4 linked regions of the Styela clava genome follow. The protein of the gene in region 3 interacts with the protein of the main gene of each other region in a biochemical or structural test. Links are inferred from orthologs where the notes say so. Each region holds a gene or a part of one and is shown on either strand. Other genes may lie near its edges. The genes, in order: Parkinson disease protein 7 homolog, ubiquitin-conjugating enzyme E2 N-like, E3 ubiquitin-protein ligase parkin-like and ubiquitin-conjugating enzyme E2 Z-like.

Region 1 (6,441 bases), on a different chromosome or scaffold from region 3:
TTTTGCAAATTTATTGCTCTCTGGGCTGCTCTGAGACTGTCCACACTTTTCCCAAATCTAAATACTGAAAAAAATGTATATTTTTTTTTTATTCAGTAAATTGAGCTTTGGTAATGTGAGATCTGTGTCTGTTGCCAGAATTATTAAAATATAAACTCACATTTTCTGGACGTGCTCATTAATTTTTCCAGCTCTATGAGCATGTTGACTGCATTTTCCTTATTGCCATTTCTCAGTAGATACCATACAAGAAATTTGCTGCCATATTGCGTGACTCTATAAAACATGTTGTATTCAATTACAAGAAATCCCAATTTCTGCACATTTACCTAAAAACAGTCTTGAGAAAAAACAATCAATTACCTATATAATTTGTCTCGACCAGCCGTCTTGTTGCAAAAAGCTAGGAAGTCATCCATTTGAACTTGACCTGATTTATTTTAAAGCTATAGCTCTGGAAATGAAAAAAAGCATTTCTGTCAAAACATCCCAGAATCACATATGTAAAAGGAGTGAATTATGAGGAATACATACTATACAGAAATATATAGTATAAAATACCAGTGGACAGAGGTCGACAATGCTAGGCGCAAAACTGATTTTACTTTTCACTTTACAAGAAAACTCTGCTTGATAAAGTTATTTCACAGGGTGTTTTCACTTTGTGCATGAAATGTTTCAACATAATGGGATTTGGAATCTACCAATCAAAATTACACTATAAAGACCAATGATATGAATGATAAACAAGGGGGCCATGAGTGTTTAAAGTCGGGACGGGCAAGGGGCCACGAGCCATAGCATGTTGGGAATCACTGGTCAAGGCAACATGAAAATATAAACCCAATAAGCGCAGTTAATTGCCATGCAGTCAATGATCTTCCGTATTTTGGGCAATTGAATTGCGTAACTTAGAGACAACTATCAAAAATGAATAAATCAAGCTCAAACAGGGCAAAGATGATGTTTGATGTTATCTAACAGTGAATGATATAAATATAGTCGGTGGGCAAGTTATGGCAAAACCATCGGTCCGGAAATCTTGTCTCGGACTTCCTTTCCCTTCAACATTTCAACTAGCTCTAAAGCAAATTCAAATGATGTTCCTGGACCACGACTTGTGATCAGCTTGTTGTCCTTGACAACCCTTGCCTCAGAATAGATGTACCCTGAAATACAGTTAGAAACTATGTTAGTTTAAAAGCTATGTAACAGATGAACTAATATACAAAAATATGATTCCTCACAAATCTAGCACGCACTCTCTCAGTATAGAATATTGATCTCTGAGCAAAGTCAAGGGCGGGCAAGCACTAAAAAGCCATAAACTACTGGGACTGTAAATTATAGCGTAGAAGTGCGCGTTAACAAAATCCAATTGACACAAGAGTGGATATTGCGACGCAGATTATAAGTATTTTTATGAAGACGAACCTTCTAATTTGTCCTTTAAGGATGGATGAGATGTGATATTGCTCCCTGGTTTTATGTTATGAGATTTGAGAGCTATAGGAGCAGCACATATTGCGCCGATTAAGTTTGTATGTTGAATCTGCATCTCCAGGAGCTTCTTTACGCCATCTGACTGTACAGAAACAATTTTATGAGTCAAATGATGGTTAAAACATCTTGGGTGATCGTGGTATACTGTAGCATCTTTACCTCAAGACCCAAGAATTATTGACATATCTACTAAATTTAGTCAGCGAACAATATTTTCTAATAAATATCTATAGTAGGTAAGTCAAATATATAAGATTTTACAATATTGTCTCGATATTTTTGTATTTAAGCGATTGCCCTACATAGAATATTAAAAATTCAAAACAATTTTAAGCAACCAGCTACCTCTGCGAGTGTGGTCGCACCCTTTAAACCACCAGGCATTACAACTGCATCATACGGGGCAGCATCTATGGCTGTTTGGAGATCAACATCTGGAATTATGCAAACCCCTCGACTACACATAATTTTATCTGATGCGTCAACGCCAGCAACAGTCACTTCAATCTGCATATAAAAAATTAAGAGTATAGATGTGTATGGAATAATTATTTGTCAATACCGCTTATTGGTATTTATTTTAATGTCATTGATGAATATTATTTGGTCACAAAAAACTTTTTGTTTGTTACATCAGTAAGTTCTGTCGTTATAAATTATTTCAATTTTGCTTTAATACCGGTATAGTTTATAAAAAAGCTTAAAACTTGTTGTATATCATAATTCACTTGAATCCTAGCGTTTCTAAACTAGTGAAATAGAGCCAGGTTGTATAAAAAAAAGGAAAACAATTCTGAATTTTCACAAACCTCTGCTCGACGCATCACATCAATGGAAATAACGGCCTCCATCTCTTCTGCGCCATTCGCAAGCAAGACCAGTGCCCTTTTCAAAGAACCACTCATTATAAATTCTTTTTGTCGTTTACTCAATAAGCGAATAATCGTGAAAATAATAACCCGTAGAGCAAGAAAAAGAGCCCTCAACTAGTGCAATTGCATTGAATGAATCCAAACGAAGTCAATGCAGCAATGTTTGAGCTCCACAGCAGGAGTCGAATTTTACACTACCCGGGACTCTGTACTCATATTTGGGTTAGGACAGGAATTTTATTCGCCCAGTAGGAGGGGTAGAAAATACGATAAAATTACTTAATCATATGGTGAGCCATGGTTTTTTGTACTACAGTCCATGTAAAGTATGTAATTAGGCAGCTCATTAGTAGAATAAGATTATCTTTTTACATCGCATGGACTTGACTTCTAAATATTATTCCGAAGTCAGGAGCTCAAGTCGAACTTTTATATTACCGGTATGCCGATTCTGTATTCCAGACTTCAATCAATCAATTTTATTTCGGTCGCTCTGGTATAAAACAAAACAATAACAAACGAACAAACACAGAGGACCTGGAGGACGGGCATAACTTGAAGAAAAGTTAAAAACGTGAAAATACGCGCCCGTCCACCAAAAACAGTCAAATAACACAATAAAACAAAAATACACGATACAGAATCGGGCAATAACTTCAAATGAATAAATTTGTGAATAACAGTGACAACAATGAGTTTATTTTGAAGAGGGGTCATACAGATAAGTAAACATCGTTTTTATATGTAACAAGAAAATGAAGTGATTGTAGGAATAACACTGCAAATGGTAAAGGAAAATTGTGATTAGAATAAACAGGTCGTTTGAATGATGACTTTGTTCGAACATTAAATGACTGATGAAAATTGTTGAAAGAGGTGCTTTTGGGTGTTGATCAACTAAAAAAATAGTGCTGTGATGGTGTGGTGTTTATAATAAACTATATTAAAATCTTAGGCGAACTGGAAAGCTATTCAGTGCCTTCCAGTGGATCAATCAATCATTTATTCGTCGTCACAAAAACATCAAATGCAAAAAAAATTGGTACAATAAATAAATATAATAATAATGATATTTGTGCGACAGGAGTCGCGAGGGACCATATTAGGTCTTCAAGCAGCGACACCTAAAGCGCTGTTACTGGTTCAGTGTAAAAAAAATAACTACATTTGCTACAAACATTGACTATGCAATAGTCGTTGTGATGAACATATTTTGAATCATTGAAAAAATTCGCAGCAAACGCAACTTTACTAAAATCATGTAATAGAGAAAAAAAAAGAAAAACAACTCAACTATAAATTCATAAAAAAGGCATATTTGAATAAATGTATATAAGTTACATAAAAGACAAACGACAAGCGAGGGGAAAATGGTTAGACCAAAGACAAAATTGTAAGAGATTAATTGAATAGGAGTTGGTAAGCTCTAATAAATCATAAAACGTTGATATGTATATATATATACAATACGCTCCACAGTAAGTGGGCATAAAATTTACGAAAGAATGGTAGGCATATGCTTGCTCAATAAATTAAAATATAACGAATTTTGGCATTTTAGTGTAGAGGTTGCACCAAGTTTGGTAAAGTTAAAGTACCGGGTACTTTAGAAATAGACTCCTTACACCTATAGTTCCTCCGGCTTTTTGGGCAGCCATGGCGACGGTCTACAAATGCGACTACTGGGCTATGGACAGAAGATGGCGAATCATACTGAATACTCCAATCAATGGCTGATGGAAGAGAGATAATAACTAATATATTTACTTTTTAGATATAATTTGAAACCGTAATAGCCTAAAGATTTAATGGTACTTGGTAAGGCATTCCACAGTTTCACACCCGTGTATTTTATGGATTTCTGTGTCCTGCTTGATGAATATCTTGGGACATAATATGAACTTGACAAAGCTGATCTAGTAGAGTATGAATGGATATTACTCTGCATTCTGAAAATTCCCGCGAATGCCATGGGAAGCTTGTTATCGAAGTACTGGTGCATGAGTTTCAGTATCTCAAATTCATGGATATGACCAAGCTTAATAATTCGACACCTGTGGTACAAAGGATCTAGTCTAGATCGGAAAGGTGCACTACATATGGCTCTAATTGCTTTGTTTTGCAAAACTTCTAATCTGGGGAGTAGAGTCGATGACGCACTACCCCAAGTTATAATGCCATACTGCAGATACGACTGGAAAAGAGAAAAATAAACCAATCGGAGAGCTGGCATGGTGAGGAATTTTCTTAGTTTAAATAATAAACCTGTTGCACTTGACAACTTTCCAGCAATGTAATTAATGTGTGATGTCCATTTCAATTGGTCATCAATGTGGATACCTAGGTATTTGTATGAGTTGACATTTTCAAGTGGAACCTTGTCAATATTAATTTGAAGCCGAATTTTATTTTTTTCATTTATCCTGGGACTAATTAATAAGCATTTTGATTTTTCAATATTTATGGTGAGTTTATTTATGGTCATCCAGGTTGCAATTTTTTGCATTTCAGAATTCATCCGCAATTCCAAGTCGTTTGGCGAAGCTGAACTTCCAAACAAACCGGTATCGTCAGCGAAGAGTTTGACAAGTAATTTAGTGGCATGAGGAAGGTCATTGACAAATAGAATAAACATTATCGGTCCAATGATCGATCCTTGTGGAATTCCGCATTGTACACTAGAGAGTTTGGAGCAATTCGAACCAAATTTAACACATTGCTGACGTGAACTCAAATAGCTCCTGAAAAAAGTCAACGCGTGACCGCGAATACCATCCTTGGATCGTTGTTTAATGTTAAAGAGTCATCTGAACATAGAAGAATGAAGCACCTGAACTGGGGCCACGGTTTGAATATAATGTGAGATGGAGCCAATATGACTTCTGAATATAATTCGAAGAGTCAAGTGAAAATTATAAGTTATTGTTGACGATCACAAACTATTATTAAGTATCGAAAATTTCCTCCTCCCAATCGGCAAATCATAAAGAAAGTTGCCACTTATCCAATATGACAAAAGTGGCTTTAGAGATAACAAAATCGTATAAATTGATTCAGTAGTTTGCATATATGATGGCTCTTGAATTTTATTTACGTTTGAACACTATCTCTAGTAATATATTCAATTATACTGTAGTATTTGTCAAAATCATGCGGAACTCACCGACTATGACGGTCGTCCCGTAAATAAAAATCTTTTTAATTAGATGTTAGTAGGCTCGGCGGTGTGGCGCATCGTGCTACGCTTTAGGAATACTCTCGCCACAGCATCTCTGCTTAACCTTCGTGAGATCGCAGGTTTGAATCCCATGCGGGGATGATGTGCGAGAGATTGCTGAACTCCTCGCCGCCGTAGAGTGGTTCACGTAACCGCTGGTCGATTACGGCTCCCTCCACCATCAAGTCCAAGCTTCCGGAAACAAGTAACTGTCTAACCAGTATATATTTACGGTCTAACCGTAGTAGTCCGTAGTCGAAATAAAATCTTATGTTATCTTATCTAGTATATATTTACGGTCAATCAATCAATCAATTTTATTTCGGTCGCTCTGGTATAAAAAAAAACAATAACAAACGAACAAAGACAAAACACAGAGGACCTGGAGGACGGGCATAACTTAAGAAAAGTTAAAAACGTGAAAATACGCGCCCGTCCACCAAAAACAGTCAAATAACACAATAAAACAAAAATACATGATATAGAATCGGGCAATAACTTCAAATGAATAAATTTGTGAATAACAGTGACAACAATGAGTTTATTTTAAAGAGGGGTCATACAGATAAGTAAACATCGTTTTTATGTGTAACAAGAAAATGAAGTGATTGTAGGAATAACACTGCAAATGGTAAAGGAAAATTGTGATTAGAATAAACAGGTCGTTTGAATGATGACTTTATTCGAACATTAAATTACTGATAAAAATTGTTGAAAGAGGTGCTTTTGGGTGTTGATCAACTAAAAAAATAGTGCTGTGATGGTGTGGTGTTTATAATAAACTATGTTAAAATCTTAGGCGAACTGGAAAGCTATTCAGTGCTTTCCAGTGGATCCTTGTTTAATGTT
Region 2 (6,985 bases), on a different chromosome or scaffold from region 3:
TTAAAATCTGGTCAGAATCAAAATTTCAGAATCTGATTAAAATCACATTTTTTAATTTGCTTTACTACTGGATATGGTTCAGTTCTCTTTTCACTTCATCTTGCCATGCATTCAACTTCCGCTGTCCGTTTGTTATTAAAACTTCTATCAAGCACGATTGTATTCCGAGCATGCGCGACTAAGTCGTAAAAGACATATTTTCCACGTTTAACCATTGAAATAAATTAAATGTGACAATTGCAAGGCAAATAAGCAGTGAAATAAAGTCGTATTAAAAAGCATTACCATTGAACAGTGTCTGAGTCATCCGTACCCAAGATTTCTATAGTGATGAAGAGCATGATAACCACTGTGTTACGTTAATTTTACTTTCATATTCGCCTTCTCAATTGAAAGAAAATTCGAATCTGTTCGATAAATCTTTTAACTCTAGCTTCTAATTTGAAAATATGGCTTCTGCTATCCAGGGAATTAATATCGTATCCAATCCTTACAAACCTTTTGTCTGTATATTTTTGAACGTCGTCGCTATAGCGATTCAACAAACAAGTATTCTCGCTCGTTGGACGATTTCCATAGATGAGTCAGTTTTTCTCGTATTTACCTAATCATACCTTTTCTTTAACTTCCGCTCTGATTATGCCCGAACGTGCCCAGATATTTATATCGCGCATTTTTGCAATTAAATCGTAAAAAGTCATATCCGGATTCTGTCGAATAGCGTCATTTGCACAATGAAAGTTTGTTTTATTCCGGGGGTGAGGAAAGCCGATAAGACAGCTTGAACATATGGTGAACCACGGCCTCTCGTTTGGTTACCAGTTTATATCGAGTATGGGGTTAGTTAGTCAGGTATTTTTTCCAGATGCATGGACGTGATGGTGGAGGAAATGCACGATATAACGAGCCGTGAATTATTTGTGAAAAAACAAAACAATGTACATTTTTATAACAAAATGGCAAATGGGTGTATCAAAAAAAGAAATACAAGTTATGTGTAATTAATTCGCTGGTGAATAATATAGAAAATGAATTGTCAAAAAGTTGAAAGAACTAGTAAGGGAATACGCAGGGAAGCAAGTATGACGGCCATCAAACTTAACGAAAGCATCGAAACAAATACTAAACACACAGCGGGGAAAGAAAATTTCTTTCACAAACGTAAAAAAGTTGTGGAGACTAATTACTTAAGCTGGGTGTGTAATGAAAACCATGAAAATATCGATAAATGTTCACAGGGAATGAATGAATAGTTTTCTTGGAAAAGAGCAGTAATTGTTTTCAAGGAGACAAAATGTGTTCATTAGATCACAAGTCTCAGTTATCAGATTATTGTTTTTGCTGGACGTTTTCGACAACCTATGGAAAATCTGATTCTGTTTTAGAGGTCGGAGGGTATCCATCTGTTTCTGATCCATCTGTTTCCTGGTATTTTTGAGCATTTAACTGTGTCTCTTGTAGTAGTCTACACCGACATATTTTCTTATACCTATGCCTACGATAAGAGCCTCCACCCGCATTTTAATTTAAAACCATTGTTTCCAGACGGCGTGTGTATTTCTGCAATTCTGTACCCCGCAATACAAAACCACGTTGCAACCTTATCATTTCATCACTAAAATGCTTTACCAGGCATTTTTAGTTTGGCGTCGAAACAAAAGCACGTGAATTGACTTCGGTGGGTGAATATGTGTTTTCCATTTCATTGATTTGAGTTTGTCCCACCAAGTCCAGTTTAATCACGTATTGATCAATCTTCCTTCAACTTTATACAGATATAAAAACCCAAGTAGTCAGTTTTTATGTGCCCAATCAAAGAGCTAATAACGACAATAACATTTATCAAAACGATCAATATGTACACTCTGTAGTCAATAATACAAAAATGCTACGAATTGGATAATTCCTTGAAGGTATATTTCACCCAGCCGGAGTTATACAATTTACTACCAACTCTTTGACTTCCTTTTTGTGACGGAATGGTTAACTGGCGAGAAGTGACACCTTAACCAAGGTCATCATCTTTTTTTCCCTTCTGTGGCATAACTTTAAAATCCATGTTATTTTTCGCAATCTCGGTTCATGATACGCCGAACTTCAACTAGGGTATCAATATGGACTATCTCAGAGAAATATTTACCCAATATTTCAAAGCTGAGTTTATAAAAACAAATTGCCGTATGATTAGGCTTACCATATATCTGGAACAAAAAACCGGGACAGTGCGGATCGGACTAACTTTGGTTCGATTCTGAGACTAAGTAATATCTGAAACTTCTATCATATCTTTGCAAGTAGATTCCGGGCATTGAATTATCTAAATAAATTAATTCGTACGCGCAGTCGCCAAACATTACCGTATTTATAAAAGCAGCAATTATTTGAACATTTCAATAATCGACATAAGAGAGACACGGAATGATGTTGAATTCAGTTTTAAGGTAAATGAGCCGCAAATCCTTTGCCGGTCTCGTAAAAGCTCGTTTCAGTTTTATTTTTGAGTTTGAAAAAAACATTATTGTCCCTCGTCTTTCTACGCGTCCATTTGGCACTTTGATAATTTATCGACAGGTCAGTTAACATTGTGTGTCAAATTATCGCAAAATATAATACCTATGACCAGTGGCGTAGCATCCACCCCCGCGGTCGCGGGAGGGCAAACAGCGCAAAGGGGCCCAAGCGGTTAGAATTTAGAAATATAAGCCGCAAAACCAAAAGCTGCATTGCAAAACCAGGTAATCTGTTAATGCACATCTTATAACGTTTATGTTAGTTCTGCTCAAATCGTTTTGTTACGTAACAATGCCAGGGAGTCGTCGATTTTTCGCGTCTTGTGGTTTGTTCGCACCGGCAAAATTACGAAGGCTGTCAGAATGATGTCGAGAGCAAAACCTCTCAGTGGCGCACAGAAACGCAGAAGAGGGAGCACGTATGAAAAAATTAAAGTCACCAAGATAAACGGCAAATATTAGGTTACCATTGCCTTTTAATAACAACATGCTATGCTTTTTGACGAAATAAAAAAAGCGTTTTAGCTTATGTCCGAGAGTTTTTAGGGTCATTTCCACGAGAGTCTTGCTACGCCACTGCCTATGACACAAAACAGCAGTTTTCTCTCCCTCTGTTAACTAGTGAATAAGAGATAAATTGGATGCTTCCGTCAAAAAAATAACTTGTGATAATATTATAAAAATTGTTTTTGACTGCCACGCTACATAACCGGGACATTTAAGTCTACCGGACGGGACGCCGGGAAAGCTTGTCAAAACCGGGACTGTCCCGGCTAAACCGGGACGTATGGTAAGCCTACGTATGATGTATAACGTATATATACGAAGGTGGAGAAATAACTTGAGAATCAGGGTTGTGAAGCTGGAGTTTGAGATGTATTCCACGTAGTCGGAGCGAACGTCGTGTTTTCAAACACCTTCGATGCTAGAGTGGAAATTTCGTATTCGTCGTAGTTATAATTTCAGATTTTCAATGACCTGCATGCGGTTTTTGTTACCAAATTTTCTTAAATTAAAACTCAATTTCATTTTTCTCATGGAAATCGAAGTCAGAGCAAAATTTCTTTAATCCGGAGTCGGGAATCGGGGAAAATTTGCAATCGACTCCGACAGCCAGGGCGAGGGTCTCGCGAAACAACGGTGGAAACAGGATGAACATTCTAGTATGATAGCTGCAGAGTTCCGAACTTGGACTTCCTTTACTCAATAACTTAGGTTTTTTAATATACCAGTGTTGGTTTTGCATTTTGAGCCACTTATACAAATTACTGTAATACGGTACCGGTACCTATAGCTGAACAGCTGGTGTACCAGTACGGTAGCTAGATAGACTGAAACATGATACACAACATGATAGTCAGTACCAGAGTACGGTACTGTGATATCGAGGCCTTTGTTTCGTTTTTACAAATTGTGATGGCTGTGATAATTCGTAGTACAGTACCGGTAATAGCTAAATTTTAAATTCAACTTTCAGGGTATTAAACTCTATCTAGCTCATGTAAATTAGATCTTTGTCAATTTGTGTGGTTGTTTAAACTTAAAGACTTTCTCAAATACCTGAATACTCGCTATTGGTCATCGAACATTGAGTATATTGGACACCTGGGCACATATCAACAATAATACATGGCTGCCGGTATCCCCAGAAGAATTATAAAGGTAGACTATTCAACATCTTCTTTCAGTTTCAATCAAATCTTCTTCACAGTTGTTTAGAAAAATCCTGAATGAAATAAAAAAAGATTATGCATGAAAGAATGTTTTTGACATAAATATACTGTATAGTATATTGTCTTTAATATATTCTATGGATCTTAAAGTATTATTTATCCATTTATGAACAATGTAATCATGGTTGACAAGTCTAAATAATGCTTTCTAATTAGATTGCCTTGTTATTTTTCAGGAAACACAAAGATTAGTGTCAGATTCTCCACCTGGCATATGTGCCATTCCTGTTGAATCGAATGCGCGCTATTTTAAAGTAACAGTCGTAGGTCCACAAGATGTAAGTTGTAAATAATTAGGTTATATCAATCTTTTCAACTACTTGATCTTCAGCAATTTATTTGGATAATGGTTAATTAGCATAGAGTTTTCTAACTAACAATCTGATGAAACAGTGGCACGAAAAGCTATTACTCGCGATAGTATTAAAGAAATGATGTATAAGTAGTTATTCGCCTTGTATACCTAGATTCACTTTAGCACTGGGGTACACTCGGTAGTGGGATTCAAATTTTTGTCAGCCGGTTCCATCACAAAAGTCATATTTTTCAGCCGGTTCTGTTACAAAAAGTCATAATTTTTTAGCAAGTAAACTGATTATTTTAAATTACTTCCTAATTACCATTTCAAAATTTTCAATGATGTTGAGGATTGTCGATATTGCTGATTTGCTGTATATAACCGGCTCAATCCCATCACTGCTAACAGCCACACTAAAAAGCAGCAGTCGTCTCATGACTTTTACCTATGATGCAACAATTCAATTTTCAGACAAACAATCACAAAAGGAAAATTACTACAATTATAAAAGTTAACACAATGCATAACTGTTACGTGTGCGAACTTGATCATTTCACATTTTGAAAAAAAACATGAGCTACTTGATCCAGAAAATCGGTGTGTCAGATAAGATGCAAAAACCCATTGACAGTAATCAGTAATGCTAACCGGTTCTTTGATCTCATAAAATTCTGTAAGACGGTTCTATAGAAACTGTGCGAACCGGCTGAATCCCACCACTGGGTTCACTGTGGCATATCAATTAGTTATTCCAAAATATTATTACCGTTAGATACGAATATGATTGGTTGAACCCTTATATCTGTGATATATTAAAATATAATGGAAGTTTTAAACAAAAATATGATAAGCAAAATATTAGGTTGTGGAAATCCTTGACCAGAAGTCTAATTATGAATTGATCACGGCTCACTACTAAATGAATTTAATGATCAAAAACTTTTCTGGATGGAACAAGTTTTAAAAGTTGAGGAAAACAAGAACATAGTGTAGAAAAAGTATTGTTATGCCTAATTCGACGATTTCTGCTCACCATAATTTTCTCTATAAAAATAATATGTAACTTTAGTCGTATCATTTACAATTAATCATTTATTCTTTTTATTTGTAGTCACCATATGAAGGGGGTATATTCAAATTAGAATTATTTTTACCTGAGGACTATCCTATGGCACCACCAAAAGTTCGTTTTATGACAAAAATTTATCATCCAAATATTGATAAACTTGGAAGAATATGTCTAGATATTTTAAAAGGTGATGTCTTTTTTGATTCTTAAGCTTTGAATTAACCCTGAATTATTTTTATGCTTGACATAGGAGCTTGGCTCGACGGTGTGGCACATCATGCTAAGCGTCAGGAATACTCACACCAACGCACCTCTGATTATCCTGCATGGGTTCGCAGGTTCAAATTCCAGGCAGGGAGAGTTATGTGCGAGAGGATTGCTGGACTCCTCGCCGCCGTCTGGTGGTTCGCGTAACCGCTAGTCATATACGGCTTCCTCTACCTATAAGTCCATGCTTCTAAAAAAATAAAAATAAATGGCCAACTAATCCCATACTCGACATGGACTGGTAACCGGGGCGAGAGGCTTTGTGGTTCGCCATATGATTAAGCTGTCTTATCGGCTTTCTTCTCCCCCAGGATAAATCCTACAAGTTTAGTCCCCAATGAAATTACACTGCAATGCCACTGACAATGTAAATTTTTCTGTTAATTTAAGATATCCATGCCTGGCAAGTCAGGATGTTACAATCTTGAATCAAAGTTGAAATATTATGAAAAATAAAACAGAATGTCCAAATTAACATTTTGAATCCATTTTTTAGATAAGTGGAGCCCAGCACTACAGATAAGAACGGTTTTGCTTTCAATACAAGCTTTATTAAGTGCACCTAATCCAGATGATCCTCTAGCTAATGATGTTGCAGAGGCTTGGAAACTAGATGAAAATTCGGCAATTAAAAAAGGTTTGTGTTTTTTTTAGTTATTCTTGTGCAGATATATAATTTATTTGGTGCTCCATAAGTATGTGTACCAATATGGAGGTAAAAATTTTGTTTGCCTACTTGTGTAAAGAGACTGAAGCCTATGGGCAGGGGGTATATAGTCTCCGAACTCGTAATTGAACTAAAAATAGGGAAATTCGAAATAAAATTATAGCCTAACCCGGTACACATACTACAGGGGTACCCTTTATTTTGTATATACATGTCATTTTTCACTTTTGGGCCACAGATACCTTCCAAGAAACATTTTTAAGTGGGCCACAAATCCATTAAAAGTTATTGATAGTTCAGTTAAACTTTGATTGTAGTAGCAATGAATGATGATGCTGTTTTTCAATTATTAAAGTGGAAATGTTTATATTCACGGAAAGCATTCTTTGTAGTTTTTCCATATACGGTACATGAGTTAGTTGATGGGCCATAGAACTTTTA
Region 3 (7,624 bases):
GTTCACACAAATGTTTTGTCTGCCAAAGTCAGAATTTCTCGGACAAGCATTTTATAATGAAAAAGTAATTGATAGCTGATTTTGCCAGTTAATATAATATTTATTATATTAGTATAAAAATGCATATCATCAAATGACTTAGTAATATTAGTACAATATGCTGTTATAATTTAGAAATAAAAGTAGATTGACAAATGACAACCAATATTTTGCCAGTTAATATAATATTTATTATATCAGTAGGCCTATAAAAAATGCATATCATCAAATGACTTAGTAATATTAGTACAATATGCTGTTATAATTTAGAAATAAAAGTAGATTGACAAATGACAACCAATATCTGAATATGGTATTGTTATTTTGTTTACATTTCAGTCATACCTGCTGGCAAAAGTACGGTAATACCATATTGGGGCCTACTTTTATATCTAAATTATAAAGTGGGTGAAAATCCTACTTCTTTAATTTGCTTGCTGCGGCTCTGTGAAAATTGAAAAAATCCACCTCCTCTCCCATTTTTCACACTTCAATGCAATGACTTATTACGATACGGTATCCTTGCACAATGTAAGCTTTGAAATTACGGTATATAATATACAGATAGTCTATATATGTTAAGATACAAAAGGATAGGATAGTATTTACATATTTATCCCGGGGGAGAGGAAAGCCGATAAGACGGCTTATCCATATGGCGAACCACGGCCTCTCGTCCGGTTATCATTCCAAGTCGGGTATGGGATTAGATTTACTGTATTGTTTGTTTTCGGAAGCATGGACTTGGTGGTGGAGGAAGCCGAGCTGAGTAATATAGGCCTAGTAATTCTAAACTGTCACAAAACAGCATTACTGAAATGGTGTGATACCGGTATGGTACAAATAAAAATATTCTTTTTCACTTGTGATGTATCTATTCTGATTTCTGCATAAACATCGAAGTTGAGAGAAAAGTTGTTTCCCTGACCCTTGACCCCAAAAAAATTCTCCCAGATTTTGCTATTGCAAAATTTTGGATGCCTATTTCGCGAGTGTTTTGGAAAAGCAGGCAAAGGAATGTTGATATCGCCGTGTTAAACAATAGCAAGACACTGCATCTCACCAATTCAGGTATAAGTACAAGAATTCCTGGGTCAATCCATAACAACAGAAATCGTTTTCTTGGCACTGTTTTTCTAAAACGTTTCAACGTCAAATCTGATTAGGGTTGGTGCACCATGATATTTCATTCACATACACCCGCCCTGCGCTCGAGTTGTTGATAAATCCTTGAGTGGACTCTCATTTTTACGGGTTAGTGCAACATCAAATTGATGTTTACAACTGACAATGTATTACAATTGCGTCGCTCGATCATGTTTGGTCAACTGATTGAACAATGTCAGAAAATACGATACTGCCCTGGTGGGCAGGCACTTGAGATACTTCTCATGTTTTAAACTTTTTTATGGGTTTTGCTTGCCCTCCAGAATTCTCCATTTTCAATTTATGTTTGTTATGGAGTTTCCGAAATAAACTATCTATCTATAATGCGAAAGGCTTGTTGTCACAGTCACGACGATCATGAGAATGAGAAATGAGAATATTCTTGTCTGATAGCTGTGCCTATCCAATTTCAAGTTTTCCACGTCCTAAGATACCTCCACAAAAGGCATAATAGTTGTCTACATACCAGCTGCTGCTTGTTTAGAGCCTTGTTCAGATTTCTCAGAAAAAAAAAGGCGAGACATATAGAACGAAAATGGTTTATAAAAATGGATGGAGGAGTCGTTAATATTGTACCATCCAATGCGCCATTCCTAATGCGACGTTGCATTGTACCCATTGCGCTTTCATTGTTAATAATACACCATTCCTAATGCAATAACGCGTTCTTCTCAATGCGCTTTTCCTAATAGCAGAAAAGTACTTCAATATTCTATGAAACGTGAATTGATTTTATTACCAAATATATCAGCAATGAAATTATACGTTCCATTCTTAAAGTTTGCATGATGTCACAGCACAACCAAGTGACAAAAACTTTTTTGCTGCTTTGCTGCGGGGAAGTTGTGAAGCTCTTTATCAGAAGATGGAACCGTTCTTATACAATAGCTGTATTCAATCCAGTCTTTTCAAATTACATAGTGGATATGGGTACCTGCTTGTTCAGAGTCTTATTCAAAGGGAATGTGTGAAATACCCCATTAAAAAAGTGGTGCTCCATATATATATATATATGGTGATTTAAATAACCAAACATTTATTGAAGTTTCACAAGAAAAAAAAAATCAAAGCACAGATGCACACCATTAGTTTCACCAGAACCATTTGGTTTTACTCCAAGCCTATTCGGGACCTAGGTGAAGTCGAATCACTGACTGCTTCATTCCCATATCGATAGTGTGGTACTGAGGTAGATATCAAAATATATTAGTCATCAAGGGTGTGATAATGGATTTTTTTTCATTCATAAACATTAGGTTCAGACAAGGATACGGTAATTTGAGTTGTTGGACACGTAGTGGACATAACGATCGTTTCAATATTATGTTGGTCTTGTTGTTGTTGTTGTTCTTTGACACTTTTTGGACATCTAGTGGAAAATCTAAAAAACCGCTTTTCTCTTCCATTACTGGACCGATTGCTTCGAATTTTTTACTGGTTAAAGATGAAATTTTTCTCCAGAAGGCTATTACTTTTAGTTATTTCAAATATTTCTTTTAGCTCTGTGAGATTTGTTTTTGTTTGCTATGACGTCACCGAACGTTCTGCGGACGGTACTGTACCGTACAGTATTGCAATAATGTTGGTTTTCTTTTCTGCGGGGACGTTACCGTACCGCCTTAGCGAAAGTTGGAAGTCCTACTGTACTGCTTCGCTTGGTGTGAATATATTTGCAGACTGTGATCTGACGGTACGGTAAACCGTACTGTACTGCGAACAGACGTGTCCATATATTTGGGCGTAGCTCTCTTGTTTTTTCATAGGATCACTTCGAATTTAACATGGAAGATTTGTCAGAATATTTGTGATTTTTTTTCATATTGATTTCATTTGATCATTGTTAAGCAGCCTGAAACACAACAACAATCTACGAGCAGATGTTTCAAAGATTGCTTATAAGGGAACATGGTGAACTATTGTTCACTTTAGAGACTAATGGATTTTTTCAAATTAATTTTAGAAGGTACTGGTTTTTTGATACTTTTTATTTTAGGTGGTGCGAACATGTTGGGAGCTGACTCTGATGACCGTATGGTCGTATCGCTCCCTCCAGCCCATACCGAAGAAACGTTATTCGTAGTGCTTTATATTTATTATTATTATCAATGTATTTATGTTTTTTCTGGTTGACAAATAATGGAGCTCTCTCCCTCTATTCGAAGAAAAAAGCGAATATATAATAGTGATAATGACGAAAAACGAGAACAACAATATAATATTCAAACGATCGTTATGTCCACTAACGTGTCCAACAAGAACAACAACATAATATTGAAACGATCGTTACGTCCACTAACGTGTCCAATTACCAAAAATATGAGAACGATCCAAAGGTCCACTCAAAGTGACTATAAACGGCTGGGGGATTCCCCACGTCAACTGAAAGTAGTTTGGGGGATTTTAAAAGTGACCTAGCCACCCACGCGGTATAAGAAGTGCTGCATGGTGCGCAAAGATAAAGAAAGCCAGGTACAGTACACCAAGTAAAGTTAAGTTGACACTGTACATTTATATAATAAAGATATTTGGCTATACCGGTAGGCGGTAACGTACCGTACCGGTACCAAAGCTCACAGGGTCTCGTGTAGTTTCGTACCTAATGTACGGTACGGTACTTCTAGTAGGCGTAGCATAACAATTTTTCGACATGCCAATCCTAACCTTCACCTGACTACGCCATTCAAAAATTGCGTCACAACACGTCATATCATAGCTTGCCAAATTCTCGTACGATCGCCCGAAATGGCATCGGCGCCGACGATAAAGAACTGACTAACGTCAGCGATCTCTCTCCTATCGGGATCGTTGCGACGAGAAAACGAGAGAAATGGCTTTTCGATTTCGGGTTCTCGTCTGCGCGTCTTGGATGACAGTTTGCATAGTTTGAAGGGCTCTATTACGTCACTGCAGCACTGTGGCGCCGTAGTGATGTAATTTTTGGATGGTGTGGTCAGGTGGGGGTTAGGATTGAGCTTGCCAAATATACGTACGATCACCCGAAATGGCATTGGCGCCGACGATAAAGAACTGACTGACAGTATCGATCTCTCTCCTATTGGAATCGTTGCGACGGGAAAACGAGAGAAATAACTGTTTGATTTCGGGTGCTCGTTTGCACGTCTTGGATGCCGGATGGCAGTTCGTATAGTTTGAAGGGCTCTATTACGTCACTGTGACTTCGTGTTGATGTAATTTTTGGATGGTGTAGTCAGGTGGGGGTTAGGATTGATACATGAAAAAATTGTCATGCTACGCCCACTAGAAGTATATTAGGTACGAAACTACATGAGACCCAACCATTGGATTGGAATTTTAACGAAAATAAAGAAGGAAATCAATGCTCGGGAAATAATTTATTTTGTAAAGTTTACCAAATTATACCATACAGCCATATTAATACAGTAATAAATGGGACTGAACCTGAACAGTGAAGAATAGTCTAGATTAATATTAATTAAAATATGATTTATTGTTGGAATTTGGTTGGAGTGAAATGCAAACACCTCAACCAAATAAGAAAGAGAGGGGTTGGTTAGGTGGATATTCTACCCTGTTTCGTTAATTTAGGGTCGGTTTCGATAATTAGGAACCATATATCAGTACGGTACCGATCTTAGCTATGAAATTTTAAATGTGATCACATGACCAATTTTTACAGTGTTTTATCCTTCATTGATATTTTAATTATGTCATTTATTGTTTCTGTATCTTACAAATATGAAATATCTAGTTACCTAATAACTGCAGAACTGTATTATTAGGCTTAAGATTTATCCGAAATTTCGAGACTACCTTACCGAAACAGTGCAATGTGCACTACCAATGCATTGGATATTAGGTTCATGTTGCACAAAGACAAGACTTCTAGACTAATGAAATTGCCTTTGAATATAAAAGTGTGTGATGTCAAATCTATGCTTTGTAAAGACTCTAATATCCCTTTCGAAGAGTGTGAAATTATTTTCTGTGGAAAGGCAATGCAAAATGATAAAACACTGAATGAATATACCCTTAGTTCTCAGACGACTCTGCATGTTGTCTCTTACCCTCGTATAAAAGATGAAGAATTGATATCAAGACAACAATATTATGTGGGTCGAAATTCATATTTGACAGGAATATGGCCACATCGTCAACATACTCATTTTCCTTTCATCAAGTTACAGAATTACCTGAATGAAGAAAAATTATGTTCAAAACATCCTCAATTTTATGTTTATTGCAAGCATACTTGCTTTAAAGTTACACCTGGGAAGCTGCGTGTTCAGTGTGCCAATTGTAAAGAGGACAGTATTATTCTACAATGTGAGCCTGAGCAATGGAGTGATGTCCTTCAGGCGGGAAAAATATTTGGCCAATGCTATTCTGAGGAATGTGGAGGTGATGTTTGTGATGCAGAATTCTACTTCAAATGCTCGGTTTGTCGGAGTCCGGCACCTTCTGAAACTGCTGTATCCTTACCAAATGTTATCAGCAACATTCAAGATGTTCTCTGTCTTACCTGCCTTGATTCATGTAATCCGGTCGTGACGTTTCCTTGTAGCCCTGAACATGTTATGTGTTTGCCATGTTTTGAAGAATATTCTCGAACAAAACTTCGTGATAGACAAATGATAGTTTGTGAAAATATAGGGTATTCTGTTACCTGCCCGATGGGGTGTGAAGGTTCATTTATGTGTGATACACACCTTTTTCACATACTTGGGGCTGATGAATACCAAATGTATCAAGCTTTTTCTGCGGAAGAATGCTTAATTCGTAAAATGAAGGGAATGATTTGCCCCAATCCTAAATGTGGAACTGGCTTGTTTCCAGATATACCTGCCATCTTTGAGAACAACACAAAAATTACCTGCTCAAATTGTGGGCATATGTTTTGTTCAAATTGTCGTGAATCATATCATGGAACCTCAGACTGTGAATCCCAGTTTCCTCTGTTGGCTGGAAGTAGTGTTATGGTAAGAGACTATTTCGAAAGCATAAAAACCATCAGGGAAATTTCGAAAAACTGTCCTAATTGCAAAGTTCCAACAGAAAGAAGTGGTGGTTGTATGCATATGACTTGTAAAATGTGTTTGTATGAATGGTGTTGGAATTGCCTTACACGATGGAATTATAATTGCCAAGCAGATCACTGGTTTAACTGATTTTCTATAAGTTGAGAATATATTGTCTTACTATGCTGGGCATTAGAAACAGTTTTGCTATCGCACTGTTGGATATTATTAAAAAGAAAAACATTTGTCATAGCTTTTCTGTTCTGTATTCATGAATTGAGTTCTGTAAAAGCTTCATAGCTTTTCTGTTCTGTATTCATGAATTGAAAAATCCGATATTGTGAAGAGAAGGACAGAGATACAAAATCAACTTAGCTACTGCTCTAATTGCAGTCTAAAATCATAATCTCATTAATAGAAAATGTTACAAATAGGGTCATTTTTAAGAAAGAACACATACAAGGCAATGTCCTTTCAATGAGTTTGAATTCAGAAATAAAGATATAGCATATGATTTGATGACTTAATTTAAAACAGTTTGCAAAAAATTCAGACCGTTTTGGTAATAATGTGATTTAAGAATTGGGAATCTATTTTTTATTCCAAGCTCGTCATCCCCCCTGCCAAGATATAGAATCCTATTTTATTCCAATATTTTCATATTCATCTCATCACTGTGAAATGGCCAAGCGTTTGGTATTTGTTTAATAATAAGTTTCACTACTGCCTGTGGCATTTGTATTATATAAACTAATTTCTGGTTTTAACTAGAAATTTAAATGTGCCTTTGCTATCCTATTAATGAATATATATGAATGTTGCTAATTTAGTGATTTGAATTGTGTTCTTTCTTTGTTCGTAATATATTGCTATTTTGTCAAATCATGCAAATACTTCAATAGTCAGGTAATGGCTGCGTTGTTCCGGAATTTGTTAACCGCGCCATTTACGTGTTCTACGACAGTCCACTGTAATGTTTTAAGCATTCTGCGGCGACACACTAGTGTTTCTGGTGAGTTAAGGTTTTTTTGTTTGCAGCAATACAGTCACATAAAAGCAGCTTGGTGTATGTAGTAGTTCTTGATGCTCTGTAATGGAGGATACTTCACTTCACATGTTGAAATTTATCTCAGACTTTATTTTATGTGGTAATTATTTTATTTCACATATACAAAGCAAGTGCATAATGAATAAACTTAAAATAAATCTCATCATAACACTGTTGAACAATGAAAACTGAGCAAATCCAAGTTCTGAACTTGGCTCGAGTTACAAAATTAGTTCATTGCTCTCACCAGCACCAACCATAAAAAGTTTATCCTGTTAATAAAGACAGCTCACCTAGTTCTCTATATATCAATGGGGAATCTATTCAAATTCATGAATGTGATTTCTCTGACTCATTTTGATCTATATATTTT
Region 4 (7,471 bases), on a different chromosome or scaffold from region 3:
ATAATCTAATATATTTGGCCATAAAATTTGAATGGCTCATCGTAAAATCGTTTTGGATACGTATATAAAAAGCTATTCAAATTCTCCACATATATTGCCGATTGAATATGTGGCTATTTAGGCAAAAAGTCGAAATTCTTTATATTAAATATTTGTTATCATACAATAATTTCATACGCACTTTCAAATTGCTAATTTTACTGAAACATCGTATATTAGAGCACCGATATTTACAATATAATTAGTCCCAATAACAAGCTTTCATGCAATCTAAAATTTATTTAAATACTCATTGTGGTTCTTGAGATACGAGATCATAAAGTTGATTCCTTCCGACACGAAAAACAAGCCGGTAAACCGGCTTGCCGGGGCACAGAGCGTACTCAAACAAGCCGGTAAACCGGCTTGCCGGGTTCAAGCGGTTAAGTGGGTATGTTTTCTCGGCAAGATATGTCGAGGAATCGAGAATCGGAATCAAAAATTTAGGAATCGGATAAGAATCGAATACGTGTAAGTAGTCATACTTAGCATCTTTACTCTAGGCACGCCACTGGCCATGGGCCCAATAGTGCTGCGTATAGGTGTCGGGAAAGAGTTTATTTCTAATTGGCAAACTCTTTTGATTTCTGCTATAAAATCAATGCTCGTTTTACAGAGAGCAATCATATCAACAGAAACACTTAACTTAATATTCTCTATTAGTGAAATGCACAGAGCATATTAGCAGTATAAAATTATAATTTAAAATATGGCACGAAAATAAATAGGCTATCGAAGCAACACATTTAGGTAAACTAATATACAACAATTTATAGATGGCGAACTAAAAGCTAAACTATAATCATTATAGCAAGATATGGCAAATTATTCTCAAACACCAATAGGTAAATAACAGCAAAAACTATAGAAATGATTCGAGTCGATGTATACGACAGCTAATATACGCATGCAATGGGAATCTTCACTTCAGCTGATTAGCATCTACAAAAAGATAAATGAATTATTTTATTTGAAAAGAGTCATAAATTATGTCTGTAGCGCTAATTGAGTCGCGCTATTTAGCGCCATTTTTTCAATTTAAAGATTGTTCTTAATTTGGTCTACAACGTATTTTTTTTATATTTAAATTGAATATATATACTATTTATCATTTTTCATACATAGAATAGATAAAATAAAACTGTAGCTACATTAAAGAAACTAAATGTTTTGCTAATATGTTTTGTATTGAATATATTCGAACAAAAAGTGTAATTTTCAAATATAATCGAGACACACGAGGATTACAGGCGACAACTGTTGACTTATTTTAACGCATAGCCATTAAATTGGAATAGAACATTTATTAGGAGTTACACCCAAAATTTAGATTCAAATTGAATCATCAATATTTTTTGAGTAATTCCGTGAAAACCCTATTGCATGCAGTCATCTTTACTATATTCTAATTTAATGAGCAAAGTATAAGTCGAGGCTCTAACTTACTGGCGAAGGAGAAATGGCGTTTTTCTCTATGGGTAGGAGCATCAATTTTCCACTGACATCTTGGTTCTGAATCGGTGTTTACTGTCGGATTGAAGACGGTGCTGACAAAATTTTCCTGCAATTGGTTAAAATATTATATTATCTGGCATTTGGTGTTCAACACACAACAAAATATTACAAACATTTAAGTTATATAGTACTTTATACTGATAATGACTTTCAACTCAGTCTGACATGCCTAAATAAAGTTTGGGGTACGTTGAAGTCCCGTCACCACATACTGATTGCTAGCCAATGACAAATAAAAAATTATCTTTTTCGTTGAAGCTTTGCTTTGCAAATAGGACTTCAGTATCGATATTAGGGCATCCTTCCTTACTTTTGAATGTCTTCTCTCAGATCTACACCAGTCTTGTGATTTGTTAAGTTCCACTGCACACCACGATTCACGGGAATTTCCCAATTGATATAGCATTTCTTGATTCATCTTGAAGTTGAAGTGTGTTCTATTTTAAATGTAAATCAAATTGACCAGGCTTATAAAACTTTACGACCCTACACGACGCGTACCGAGTACCCCTTCGTACAAGCGTCTGTTGCTAGGCAGCACCCTGATGCGCCATCTCGAGGTGGAACTATTTTGAGCATACCCCACGTGTATGAGGTAAAATAAAATGGAGACAACGAAATAGAAGGATGCGTCGATACGCGGGGCTGATGTCGGTATACAGGTATACGCGGTAAGATATCAAGTGCGGTATTTTCTTGACTATTTTCATCGTTGTGTTAATACAGTAATGCTTAAATAATAATTTTTTGTGTGATAGGATAGGATTTTTTGGCTGCATATTTATATCGGGGGAGAGGAAAGTGATAAGATGGTTTAATCATACTGTCATAAGGCGAACCATGACCTCTCGTCAGATCACCAGCCCATGATATCATAAAGATACCCCTAACAATACTCAGGCATTTGTTATTTATGTAAACCTGATTATTGTTATTCATTTATTAAAATATGATTTTTATTTATTGCATAATCCACATTGTGGAATCATAAAAGAAAAAAAAAAAATACTCAGGCATGGTAAAAAAATCCGCGACCATGCAGTCATGTGAGTTATCTAACACAGTGGTACTGCAGTACGGTACCGTACCATACGTAATGCAGTGCTGCAGTACCGTAACATTAACACCCAATACCAGCAATACTGCAGAAATATGTATACCGGTATACATTTGGCCGGTATACATCTATAAGAATTTAGAGGATAATTCTGTAAATAAAGTTTCAAACAAATTCCACGCTTGATCAATTGGCTGAGTACCGGTATTATCGAACTTGGCCCTATTCATGCCTCTGTCAATCATTCATTTTGGTTCTCTAACATGAACAATACAAAAAGTAAACGGATAAAACAAAATGCAGAGAAACCTGGGAAACATGCATAACTCAAAATAAATTTAAAAAGCGTACGTGCCCGCCCATCAAAAAATAAAACAATCATAGAAAAACGCGATCCACAATCGGGCAGTACTTTGAAGGCGATTTAACAAAAACAGCAAATATGAAATAGATAATTGAATGTAATAAACTTCTGACAATTTCTTCCGTCTTTGGTTGATGAAAATTTGAACCACTTGTCGGTATCTAATTAGGATTTATGAGAGATCACCAGAATTAATATACAAATGAAGCCGTAGTTGATGATGCTGTAGTTTGTCTCAATACTGCAATATGGCGAACTCGCATAGGTACCAGATTTTCTTTCTTATCCCATACTTGCTGTTCTTTTTGTTGTGTTTAAAACTGATTGTTAACTCTTTGATAAAACTTGTTAGCACTTTTTTTACTACAGTACTATATTACCTTATTGTCAGCATATTAAGTTATTGCTTACACTCTGTACGTATAGCATACTGACTGGTGGTTGTGGCAGGGTATACTCAGATACGTTCATAAATTAGTGAACAAACGTCAACCTGTAAGTGGAACATGTAAGCACAGCCAGATAATTATATGATTTGAAACAAAAAATAACTACGGTACGGTACAGTAATTTAGTCCTGTAATCATTGCAATCGCTGAATTGAATCAACACAGGAACAAATACCTGAATACTGAAATAGGCTATCATATATTTTAACTTTTGCAATTGTTTAGACTAGTCGTTTATATGTAATTGTCGCTTAAAGACGAAGTAGTTCTTTTGGTCCTCTGTCTGTCTGTCAGTCTGTAGTTCATATTGTATTATTACTATCTAACTATTTCAGAACATAGCAAATATTTTGATCCACACATAGGCTATTTGAATTGTCCATTGTCCGCTATACATGATCTGACAGAACAACTTCCTAGTTTGGCCATTTGGTGTTAGTAATTTCGTTTTGAGTTGGGACAGTGTAATTCCATTTTAAGTTAGGACAGTCCTATTTTCAGTAGGGCAGTATTTTCATTAGTTCTCCGATTCCAAAATGTCCCAACATTTGGTTCAATAAAACGAACACTCTACGAGGACGTCTGTCATGACGGCAGATTTGAAAGATCCACCAAGATTGGCTTTTTAATAATTTAAATCAATAGTGACGTGCGTCTGCCGTCACTTGACCAAATTGCGTTTTTTTTTGCTAAAAACTCTCAAATACTACGATATAATTTTTTTCTTTGGTAAATTGGATTATTTTTTCCGAGAAATCTAATGGTGAAGTTTTTAGATTTTTTTTTAGATTTAGATTTTTTAGTTTTTTTGAACTGTGCAAATTTGCCGTTTGAGTCGATACAGAGGCTCAGACCGTCAAGTAAAAGAGGGGTTTGCACCGACTGTTATTTATGATGTTTTAATGTACTTGGAATCTGTCTGAAATTTGACTTTGAGGAGTTTAAAATTATGTCTCTGACTTTGACTCCAAAATTAATAAAAACACACCAAACTGTATCCGAACTTTGACTCAGCAGCTCTTGTTTTTCACTATATTTTTCAGGTGTTATTCAGTATAGTAGATATTTTTTGTGTATTATGTCATACTGGGATCCTCTGCAATCTCATGACTGGGGAAATGAAGCTCCATCTCACACCACCATAGTCCGACTGAAGAAAGATATTTTGGAAATATACAGAGCGCCTCCACCAGGCGTTGTCATCTTACCTAATCCAGATGATATAACACGATTACAGGCCATAGTAACTGGACCTTTTGACACTCCTTACGAAGGGGGATTTTTCTTATTTTACATACGCTGTCCTCCTAATTACCCATTAAAGCCCCCCAGAGTAAAATTGCTAACAACTGGTCTTGGAATGGTACGTTTCAACCCAAATTTCTACAAAAATGGCAAAGTGTGTTTGAGCATACTTGGAACTTGGTCTGGGCCTGGTTGGAGTCCCGCCCAATCTTTATCATCTGTCCTTATTTCAATACAATCTGTGATGAACGAGTCACCGTATCATAATGAACCGGGATTTGCAAGTGAACGAGTAGCTGGTGACTCGATGCGATACAATGATTGCATTAGACATGAAACAATAAGAGTTGCTGTTTGTGATATGGCGATTAACAATTCATTGGACACTGAAGTTAAAAAAGTTGTGCAGTCATCTTTTATGGAATATTATGATTATTATGTTAGCACTTGTAAGAATTTGATGAAAATGGATGGGAGAACAATGCAAGACCCATTTAATCAAAATACAGGACATTTCCGATTTGGGGAATTACTTGCCAGACTTGAGTCAATAAAACAAACACTTTCTAATAGTCCATATGTAGTTCCAATGGAAACTGATGAGCCAGGTCCGTCTCATTAACTTCAAAATTCAATTAATTTTTACTCTATATTCACCGTACTTTTAAGCTTAATAGATGGAATAGTTCCAAATCAATGTCAATGATATAATAATGTTTATTTTTGTATTGTTTATGAGTATATCTTAATATAGTATAATATATCTTTTATGTTAGTTTATTGTTACTTTTGCAATCTTCAATATGAATGCCGTGCATAAACTGACATGATTTCAGTCGCCTTTGAGTTTAGGTTTTATTTTTAAAACTCTCGCTACATTAAACTTCAATGTATGACGAACCTCTAACTCCTATTTCTATGCTTATTACAACTATCGGTACACACGTTCGGCTGATTACTTCAAAAAATAAAAATAACATCCAAAAGCCATTATTATGGAATATATCTATGCGCAGCTAAAATAAATTTGTGTAAATTTGCTAAACTTTTTTGTTTTCTCATCAATTAAAAGTATAGTCATTCGAGAGCCACAAAAATTTGGATTGCATGCCGTATCGGGCCCGCAAGCCGCAGTTTGCGGACCACTGTTCTAATGCATTGTCACTACAGACTGGCCGCCTTACAAGATGCCGTAGTTTGTCTCAATGTGGCCAACTCGCATATGTACCAGATTTTATTTCTCAACCCATACTTAATGTTCTTTTTGTTCTGTTTAAAACTGATTGCTAACTTTTTGATGAAAACTTTTTTTACCATATTATTTCATTGTCAGCATATTAAGTTCTTGCTTATTTGTAATATTATCTAACTATTAATCTTTAACTAGGGATTGATTGTGAGATTTGAGGAATTCAAAAAAAATATAAACAATATTAAAAAACGCAACTATTGTTTAGCAATGTTATCTGTCAGTCCATGTGAATGAATTTTGATTTAGCTATGAAATAATACATCAATGAAATTTGTAAACTAGTAAGGAAGAAACAACTAGCTAATCAGATCAGAGGCATGCAACATACAGCCTTTGGGCCCTGGTATAGTCTTTTGAATATTATTTTTTATTGTAACGGCACTGTCAGCATTTTTGTATTTGTGTTGTGTTAGACTTGAATTAAATTTTGTTTGTTCAAGGATTCGATAAGGTGATTTGCTTTATTGGTGTCATGTTTTGATTAAAAGGTATGGTTTGTTTCACAGTGTGCCATCATTTTAGGGTTTGACCCATTGCCAGGGCCTTTAAAAGGCATGACCTGGCCCTGGGGTCAATATTGAGGTCTGAGTTGTCAGACCAACTCAAATTATTTCATAGATCACTGGGGCACCATTGCAAATTCCGCAATGGAATTTTTAGTAGTGCCCTCTTTCGTTGGTGCCCTAAGCACATGCTTATTTTGTCTAATGGTTAATCCAGCACGGCCCATTGCGATAAACAGTTGCATGCTCCTGATTTAGATATTCTTAACTCCAGCATATAAAGTGCATATCATGAATAAACGTTGTATTTTTATATTCTGAATTCGCAGAGCTACAATAATTAGAATGATTATTCTAAGACACAATTTTTTTTTCAAATCGACTATAATGGAGTATCGTGTATTTTGACATTTGTTAATCCTTACCCAATTGTTTCAAATAAATATGCAGAAATTACTATATTGTCAAATTATACAAACGAAATAATATTTGTATGGTTAATAATAGTGGCACATATTATGTATTATTCCATATTCCACTAAAAACTGGTTAGGCTGTATCTAATAATCAAGTCCGTGCTTCCAAAAACATAACTGGCTAACTAATCCCAGACCCGACCTGGACTGGTAACCGGACGTGAGGCCGTGGTTCACCATATGATTAAGACATCTTTTCGGCTTTCCTTTCCCCCGTGATAAATATGTAAATCCCATCTTTATATGAACAAGAATATTAAGAAATGAATATCTTATCTTAATATATTTATTAGTTATTTTTTATTGTTTTTTCTTTTTCATGGAATTTCTTCACATTATGTATACGGAATATCAAATATATCTGTCTTCTGGAAAATTCTTTGACATAATTCACAGTTACAAAAAAATTACAAATCATCATTTCATGATATGAATTAATATTGCCGCATTTTTTTATAGGCAAGAGTGCTTGGAAATAAACTTTGAGCATAATGTGAATCAGCAAATTGAATTTAGATAAGTAATTCAGAATTTATATATAAAATTTAGTTAAAATTTATATTTGAAGATA

What was found.
Region 1: the proteins of E3 ubiquitin-protein ligase parkin-like (region 3) and Parkinson disease protein 7 homolog form a complex in vitro, tested with the Homo sapiens proteins (2 studies listed by BioGRID, with this or other methods). The link is inferred for Styela clava from reciprocal best matches to the Homo sapiens genes PRKN and PARK7.
Region 2: the proteins of E3 ubiquitin-protein ligase parkin-like (region 3) and ubiquitin-conjugating enzyme E2 N-like form a complex in vitro, tested with the Homo sapiens proteins (6 studies listed by BioGRID). The link is inferred for Styela clava from reciprocal best matches to the Homo sapiens genes PRKN and UBE2N.
Region 4: the proteins of E3 ubiquitin-protein ligase parkin-like (region 3) and ubiquitin-conjugating enzyme E2 Z-like form a complex in vitro, tested with the Homo sapiens proteins (2 studies listed by BioGRID). The link is inferred for Styela clava from reciprocal best matches to the Homo sapiens genes PRKN and UBE2Z.

What each region holds. Positions count from the first base shown.
Region 1 is NC_135257.1:17,241,624-17,248,064, forward strand, and holds Parkinson disease protein 7 homolog, read right to left. Parts: upstream 2,523-6,441; 5' UTR 2,409-2,522; coding exon 2,313-2,408; intron 2,011-2,312; coding exon 1,849-2,010; intron 1,586-1,848; coding exon 1,435-1,585; intron 1,170-1,434; coding exon 1,015-1,169; 3' UTR 527-1,014; downstream 1-526. Other genes in the region: peroxisomal membrane protein 11A-like, read right to left, coding at 1-64, 161-276, 364-419. UniProt on the Homo sapiens protein: Multifunctional protein with controversial molecular function which plays an important role in cell protection against oxidative stress and cell death acting as oxidative stress sensor and redox-sensitive chaperone and protease.
Region 2 is NC_135258.1:13,557,104-13,564,088, forward strand, and holds the start of ubiquitin-conjugating enzyme E2 N-like, read left to right. Parts: upstream 1-3,964; 5' UTR 3,965-4,139; coding exon 4,140-4,172; intron 4,173-4,419; coding exon 4,420-4,521; intron 4,522-5,652; coding exon 5,653-5,797; intron 5,798-6,373; coding exon 6,374-6,514; intron 6,515-6,985. UniProt on the Homo sapiens protein: The UBE2V1-UBE2N and UBE2V2-UBE2N heterodimers catalyze the synthesis of non-canonical 'Lys-63'-linked polyubiquitin chains. This type of polyubiquitination does not lead to protein degradation by the proteasome.
Region 3 is NC_135263.1:16,303,568-16,311,191, reverse strand, and holds E3 ubiquitin-protein ligase parkin-like, read left to right. Parts: upstream 1-4,612; 5' UTR 4,613-5,015; coding exon 5,016-6,353; 3' UTR 6,354-7,112; coding exon of another isoform or gene 7,113-7,215; 3' UTR 7,216-7,216; downstream 7,217-7,624. Other genes in the region: 40-kDa huntingtin-associated protein-like, read right to left, coding at 461-519; ATP synthase mitochondrial F1 complex assembly factor 2-like, read left to right, coding at 7,113-7,215. UniProt on the Homo sapiens protein: Functions within a multiprotein E3 ubiquitin ligase complex, catalyzing the covalent attachment of ubiquitin moieties onto substrate proteins. Substrates include SYT11 and VDAC1.
Region 4 is NC_135255.1:6,259,356-6,266,826, reverse strand, and holds the start of ubiquitin-conjugating enzyme E2 Z-like, read left to right. Parts: upstream 1-4,449; 5' UTR 4,450-4,502; coding exon 4,503-5,291; 3' UTR 5,292-7,471. Other genes in the region: protein SPATA45 homolog, read right to left, coding at 962-981, 1,486-1,600, 1,865-1,972. UniProt on the Homo sapiens protein: Catalyzes the covalent attachment of ubiquitin to other proteins. Specific substrate for UBA6, not charged with ubiquitin by UBE1. May be involved in apoptosis regulation.